Sus scrofa: one gene and its partner. The protein of the gene in region 2 purifies or fractionates together with the protein of the main gene of each other region. This does not show direct contact. Links are inferred from orthologs where the notes say so. Each region holds a gene or a part of one and is shown on either strand. Other genes may lie near its edges.

What was found. Proteins that work in one complex are often made in the same cells at the same time.
Region 1: the proteins of RIPK1 (region 2) and CFLAR purify together in Homo sapiens (affinity purification with western blotting; 5 studies listed by BioGRID and IntAct, with this or other methods). This does not show direct contact. The link is inferred for Sus scrofa from reciprocal best matches to the Homo sapiens genes RIPK1 and CFLAR.

Annotation. Positions count from the first base shown.
Region 1 is NC_010457.5:104,798,608-104,802,663, reverse strand, and holds the start of CFLAR (CASP8 and FADD-like apoptosis regulator), read right to left. Parts: upstream 2,854-4,056; 5' UTR 2,813-2,853; coding exon of another isoform or gene 2,747-2,812; coding exon 2,451-2,746; intron 1-2,450. UniProt on the Homo sapiens protein: Apoptosis regulator protein which may function as a crucial link between cell survival and cell death pathways in mammalian cells. Acts as an inhibitor of TNFRSF6 mediated apoptosis.
Region 2 is NC_010449.5:1,854,622-1,858,206, reverse strand, and holds part of RIPK1 (receptor-interacting serine/threonine-protein kinase 1), read right to left. Parts: intron 1,001-3,585; 5' UTR 934-1,000; coding exon 782-933; intron 1-781. UniProt on the Homo sapiens protein: Serine-threonine kinase which is a key regulator of TNF-mediated apoptosis, necroptosis and inflammatory pathways.

The DNA of each region.
Region 1 (4,056 bases), on a different chromosome or scaffold from region 2:
TTCTCTGCTGAACAAGCTCCCAGGTCTAATCCAGTCAAAAGATTCTGAAGTAACACCTGGGTTATCCTGTCCCACTCCCGCCTCACAGGTAGAAGGCGCCTCGACCTCAGGGATTGTGACTGCAAATGCCTCTGTCTAGAGAGCCCCTCCTGACTTAGTCACCTCTGCTCCAATTGGAGTTAAGTCACACTTTATCGGGGCTCCCAAGGATACAATTGTTATTCATTACCTTGACATTGTCAGTGTGGCTTAGAAGCCCATTCTCCCAATTCAACTCTCAGATTCTTTTTTTACATTACATTTATTTTTTTATTAGGGCATCATTGATTTACAGCATTGAGTTGATGTCTGCTATACAGCATGGTGACCCAGTTATACATACATATATTCTTTTTCTCATATTATTCTCCATCATGGTCTATCCCAAAAGATTGGATCTAGTTCCCTGGGCTATAGAGCAGCACTTCATTGTTTATGCATCCTAAATGTGATAGTTTGCATCTATCCACCCCAAACTCCCCATCCATCCCACTCCCTTTCCCCCGCCCCCTGAGCAACATCAAGTCTGTTTTCTATGTCTGTCCAAACTCTCAGATTCTTTTTTTTTTTTTTAAGAGAGTCTCATTTTATTTATTTATTCATTTATTTGTCTTTTTTTTTTAAGGGCTGCACTCATGGCATGTGGAGGTTTCCAGGCTAGGAGTCCAATCAGAGCTACAGCTACTGGCCTATGCCACAGCCAGAGCAACACCAGATCCGAGCTGCATCTGCAACCCACACTACAGCTCATGGCAACGCCAGATCCTTAACCCACTGAGCAAGGCCAGGGATCGAACCTGCAACTGCATGGTTCCTAGTCAGATTTGTTTCCACTGTGCCACGATGGGAACTCCCCAGACTCTCAGATTCTTGAGGATGAAGATTCTTTGTTCATTTTACTCTTACCTGTGGCCTATGTCAACCCACAAAACAGCCCACTCATCAGATGAATAGGTGAATCTAGCACCCCCCGCCCCGCCACTCTGCTCAAAAGCCCTGAGGAACCGCCTCCATTCACCAGAGCAAGAAACAGAAAAGAGTTTATTCACAAAAACCCAGTCAGCAGCTTCCAAAAATTTTTCAGCAGATTACTGACATCATATGATGCCAGGAGAAGTGGAAGTGGATCAAGAGAAACAGCAACAACAACAATAAACCCTTGCATCTGTAGCATGCTTCCTGCTTTTAAAAAGTACTTCACATGCTAAATTATCACAGTTGAGCCTCACAGCCATACTTGTGAAATCAGCTATTATTATTCTTTGCTTTAGGAGTAGGAAAATGAAGGCCCAACCGATGGCAGTGGCTGGCTCAGCCTCAATGCCTTGTAACAGATGGTTCTGAGGCTTCAAACAGGCCTTTGGACCTCAAGCCTCAGACACGTCCCAAGGCCCACAGTGCTTTCAACTCGCTTTCATATAGTTTTTAATCATGCATGTCATCTCCAAATACATATTTTTAAAAAAAATTTTTTTAATTTTTTGGCCACCCCGCAGCATACAGAGTTCCAGGGTCAGGGATCAGATTTGAGCCACAGCTGTGGCAATGCTGGACCCCTTAACATACTGTGCCGGGCTGGGGATCGAACCTGCATCCTGGCACTGCAGAGTTGTCACCGATCCTGTTTCACCACAGCGGTAATTCAACATACACATGATTGATATAACTAAAGGCTGGTGAGAAAGGAATCACTAATTTAAGGTTACAAATTCTCTTTCTTTCCCACAGTGGCTTCTGTGCTCCTCTGAACCACCAAGAGCCTGCTGTGTGAACAGAAGGAAGGAACAGCTCAAGGGGACTCCAGCAGCCGTTCCTCTCTGGACTGAAGGGAACCTAGAGGTGGCTGATTGAGGGTATGTTCAATCTGGGGTCCCCAGCACCTGCATGAACAGGAACCTTACAGAAACGCACAGAAAGTGAGCCAACCCCACTAACTTCCTCAGCAGGGGAAAGACTGACCCATGGGGACTCAGGAGGGTTAACAAAGCTTTACAAAGGTCAGGAAGATTACTGTCAGACTTGTTATTTCCTTTCTCGGTGGGGAAATTGCCAGGCGCTGACATCACAGAAAATCAAGCTAGCAAAGAACACAGCAGATCTCGCAATCAGAAGCCATTTTAAGAGAACTAGCTCTTAGTCATTCCTTTCTCTCACCCCACTCTTCGGGCAAACCCATCCATCCAGCCCTTCTCCTTTCATTCAGTTGATTCTACCCAAGTACTTTAAGCAAACACGTCCCAAAAGTTCAAGGAGTTCAGAGGAATGAAGCAGCAGCAACACGGCAGTAGGAGCAGTGGGTTGAGAAAGGAATGCGGCTGCTGTTCCCCACTGTCCTCATTTCTATGATGCTCAAGTCCAGACCTCCTCCCTCCCTCCCACCAGTCCAGTCTCGGGAAGGGCTGAGGAATTACCTATAGTCTGAAATAAGATGAGGGTGCCTGAGCAGCTGGGCCTCCACTGTCCGTCTGTCCATCTTCAAGATCCTCTTGAGCAAGTCAAACCGCCTGACTCTGTAGAGCAGCTCAGCCAGGCTCACAAGAGACAGCTTTCCCCTCTCTCTTAAAATATCCAGAAGGTCCCTGACATTAAGTGGAACCACATCTGCAGCAATGTCTCGGCACAAAAAAAGAAGTATCTCCTTCTCATCTTCATCAAGTGCTTCTTCCACCTGATGGATGACCTCAGCCGACATTCTGTACAGTGTCATTCCAAGGAACGGCAGTAAGAGAAATCTAGTCCAGTCAACAGAAGCCCACGAGGGTACTGACTTCATTTCTGATGGTTTTCTTCATTTCTTTCAGAATCCTTTCCAATGGAGGAGTTCTGTGGTTAAAAGGGAATTTTTTTTTTTAAAAAAAAATCCTCCTATCAAAGTCACTAAAATTCCAGGTATAGGCCTTTCCTTTTCTTGTTGGTCTCCCTAATCTAGCAGGTTAAATTTCATACTGTTAAATCTATAGAAAGCGATCCTCTCAGTAGACAAAGCAACTGACCCCCAAACCAGAAGGGACGAAGAAGATAACACTATTTTTAAAGGAAATGAAACTAGCGACAAATCACCTCCCCAAAAATCCCACGTACTTTAACAGAATTTATTGAACACAAACTATGGTAAGGGGGAAATCACAGCTAGGGACTTAATGACTAAGTGGCAAATGGATGACCTTGGTGGAGGGCAGAGAAAAAGCCCAATGACTAAGCAGCTAACTGGATGAGAGAAGCTGAGATCACAGATAACTTCCCTTCCCTGACCCCCAAGTAGGCTTAAACAAATACGAATCTTAGCAAAGGGACCCCAGCAGGGCTTCAAAAAATGGTGGGAGAAAAGAGGTTTCTGTACCTACCCCACCCCATTTTTCCAGTTGTTCGACTTTGAAACCCCACATTCACACCTGCTGCCATCCTCCCAAAGTCCCCAGCCCTTTCCACAGCATCATCATGAATGCTCCTAGGACCTGCCACCACAGCTAAATGGGTCTTGTTAAGTTTGGATCACCTCTTCTGACCCTTGGAAGGGTCAGAAGCCCCCACTTACGTTACACTGCCGGACAACAATTATCACTAGAGTTCCTAACAGTGTAAATGGAAGGAAGGAGGTGAAGCCGAAGAGCTGGAGAAAGATCTGGGAACTGGGTGGGAGCAGTAGGGAATTCATGTCATGGGGTGAACTTCTCAACCTCTTCCATTGGAACACAATCTATTTTCTTTCAAAATTGGTTGTAAATGGTGGTCCCTGTCTAAAGTTTCATAGCTACATTTTATGGTAAATAATCTCTTATGTTCTGGGAGAGTACCTTGTCTGTTTCTACCACAGAAGCTTTCAGGTTAAAAGCTAATCTGAACAAAAAAATAATTGGAAACAGAACCCAGCTGTAAGTTAGCAACTTTCTGCTAACTGCTGCTACATATTTGTGTACAAGTATATTTATATATGTATCTAGCTAGATTTGGTGAAAGGAACACTGAAATCTATTTATTTTTGTACACAGTCTCAATTCACAAAAGATGAGGCATCTT
Region 2 (3,585 bases):
TGGACAGCGAAATAAAAAATGCTGCCCCAGGTGGCACAGCGGGTTAAGGATCTGGCCTTGGCACCGCAGCGGATGGGGCTCGGGTGCCATCCCAGATCCAGGATTTTGCACGCTGCAGGGCCAGCCGAAAAGAAAAAGGAAAAGAAAAAGAAAACAGGGAGTTCCCGTCATGGCGCAGTGGTTAACGAATTCGACTAGGAACCATGAGGTTGCGGGTTCAGTCCCTGCCCTTGCTCAGTGGGTGAAGGATCCGGCGTTGCCGTGAGCTGTGGTGAGGGTCGCAGATGCAGCTCGGATCCCACGTTGCTGTGGCTCTGGTGTAGGCCGGCAGCCGCAGCTCCGATTGGACCCCTAGCCTGGGAACCTCCATAAGCCGCAGGAGCGGCCCAAGAAATGGCAAAAAGACAAAAAAAAGAAAAAGAAAATGGCCTCTCCCACAAGCGCTCCGGGAAAGGAGAGGGAATCAACCCCCGCCGCCTTGGCGAGCGCCTTCCCGGGTGAGGGGCTGGGCCTCGCATCGCCCTGCAGCCAGCGAAGCACCAGCCGTCCAGCCCCTGCAGCCTGCTGCCATGGCGCCTCACTGCCCTGGACCCACCCTTGACCCCTTCCCGCCCCCGCTGCCCCGCTGCAGTTTGCTGCCGCTGGTTACCCGCTGTCAGCCCCCACCAGCCCCCCTGCATCCCCACTAGTGATCCAGGGACGCCACTAACGCCCAGCAGGTGACCTGACCCAAAACCTGTGCCCGCCCATGCCCTCCGCCCCGGCCCAAGGGGCCACTCACTCATTGCGCTTGGGGCCCGTGTACACCTTCTTCAGAATCACAAGCCCGTGGGATTTGTGAAAACACAAGGACACCTTTCCGAAGCCTCCGCTCTCCAGGTCCTCCTTCTCCAGAAAGTCAGAAGATTTCATCTTAATGTCATCCAGAGACATGTCTGCCTTCCTTCCAGCGCTCGGAAAGCCCCAAACACACAACTTCTCTCTTCCTCAGCGCTGCGCCCTGTGAAGACAATGAAAGGACACGTCAGTGCAAAAAAGTCATCATTCAAAAAAACACACCTAGTGTGCCTGCGTTTTCTGAGGACACACAGATGGACAGTCCCTGCGGGGAACTGTTTCCCGTATTTCCAAGAAGCACAGAAGACCCCAATCTTTAGTCCACAGACTTGCATTTCTGGCAAACTGAAGGACTAGAAATTTAAAACCCTCCTGCTTCAAACTACTTATCCTGGATCACGTAACATCAACACGCTCTCAAGTGAACAGAGAGGCTCAGCAGGAAGGCAAGGGACCCCAGGGACAGAGGACATGCAGGGCGGCAGGGGCCCACGTGACAGCCGAATGTTCCCCCAATTGCCACGCTGAAGCCCGGAGTGACAGGGATCAGAGGTGGGGCCTTGGGGAGGTGATGGGGCCATGACGAAGGCCTCAGGAATGAGTTAAGGGCCCTTCGAAGACACAGAGAGCATGCCTCCTCTCTCTGTCACTGTGTGGGCTCAGTGAGAGCCCGGCCATGTCTGTGAACCAGGGACAGGCCCTCACCTGACACTGGATCTGCTTGGACATCCAGCCCCCAGAACTGTGAGAGACAAATGTCTGTTGTTTAAGCCCCCTAGCCAGTGGTCATTTGTTACAGCAGACAAATAACTGAGACAGAAGCCCTATGGGGCACCCAAAGGTCAGGGTTTAACCACAGCCAGAGGCAGGAGCAGAGGTCAGGACATGCAAGAAAAGAGGACTGAGACAAAGACTCCCCCTAACACGGATTCCCATAAATTAAGCCTAATTTAACATGTGCTCCCTTGGAGCTCCCTGGTGGCTCAGTGGGATAAGGACCTGTCACTGCTGCAGCCTGGGTTACTGCTGTGGTGCAGGTTCCAACCCTGGTCTGGGAACTTCACATGCCACAGGCACAACCAAAACGAAAAACAGAAAACAAAAACCCATGACGAGTTTCCATTGTGGCTCAATGGTAACAAACTGACTAGTATCCATGAGGTTGTGAATTCGATCCCTGGCCTCACTCAGTGGTTTAAGGATCTGGCGTTGCCAGAAGCTGTGGTGTAGGTCACAGAAGAGGCTCGGATCCCACATTGCTATAATGGTGGTGGAGGCTGGCAGCTGCAGCTCTGATTCAACCCCGCCTGGGAACTTGTCTATGCCGCAGGTACAGCCCTAAGATTAAAAAACAAAACAAACAAAAAAACCATGAGCTCCCCTTCCAAAATTCTAAACCACCACCAAAAACAAAAATAGTCCATCATGGCCCAACTGCCAGCAGATACAACTGCCAGCACTATTCAGCACCAGAGCACTTCGGGTCATTAAACTATTGAATATCTTTAGAGATAAACAGGTTTAGAACAATTATGAGCACAAAAGGGAAGGTAATGGCTACAGCAGAGGAGCAGGTAGAGGGAGGACGCGGAAGGGGTGGGCTGGGGAGACTGAACACGGTGCTGGGGGCCGCCAAGCAGCATCTCCAGTTCTCACCCGCTTCATCCTTCGCCCTGCTGTTCCTCATCATTGTTTTCCCTGAACTGAAGTGGGGACTCGAAATCCATGGGGACCCACACGAACCCCACTACACAGACGATCTAGGATTAAAGGGCTGATGCCACCGGACGCTACAGGTGAAGACGAGAGGCAACGGGAATTCACACTCATTGCTGGTGGGAACATTGATGGGACAACCACTGGGAGAAAAGGTCCGGCACTTTCCCATGAAACTAGACCTACACCTGCGCCACGAGCAGGCAAGTCTGACCCCAAGAAAATGCAAACATGCGTCTCCAAGGACATCATGGGAAAAGAGGGGTGAACTTGGCTTGTTGTGAGGGAAGGACATTGAAAGCAACGCTCTCGGGAATATTCAGCAGCTGCCTTTCTCTGGAGGGGCCATTTTGGGAAAATCTGGCCCCACCCATCAGTCAGCCTGAGAAGCCCCAGGGCAAACAACAACCCAGGTGGGATCACAGCCCCACCGCTCAGGAAACAGGCTCCCTAAAGACCCCTCGGGCACACAGCCACCTCTAATCCCATCCAGAGACTAAGCCCCACCCTCCAGAGGGATTAGAATCAGCACCACCTACCAGGGGGCAGGCATCACATCACCCCTCCCATCAGGAAGCCTACAGCAAGCCCCCCATACTGACTTCAGCCACAAGGGGGGCAGACAGCAGAAGGAAGAGAGGCTACAGCTCTATTATCTGGAAAAAGGTCACCACACCAAAAACCAATAAAAATGAAAAGTCAGAGAACTATAACACAGATGAGGGAGAAAGGAAAAACCCCAGAAAATCAGCTAAGCCATGAGGAGATTCTCAGCCTCCAGGAAAAAGACTATTTAGACTGTCGATGCTGAAGATGATGCAAGACATTGGAAATAAACTGGAGGCAAAGATGGATAACTTACAGGAAACACTGAGCAAAGAGATACAAGATATAAAACTTAAACAAGAAGAGATGCAAAATACAAGAACGGAAATAAAAAATGCACTAGAAGCAGCCAACAGCAGAATTCAGGAGGCAGAAGAAAAAATAAGCGAGGTGGAGGACAGATGAGTGGAAATTACAGATGCAGAA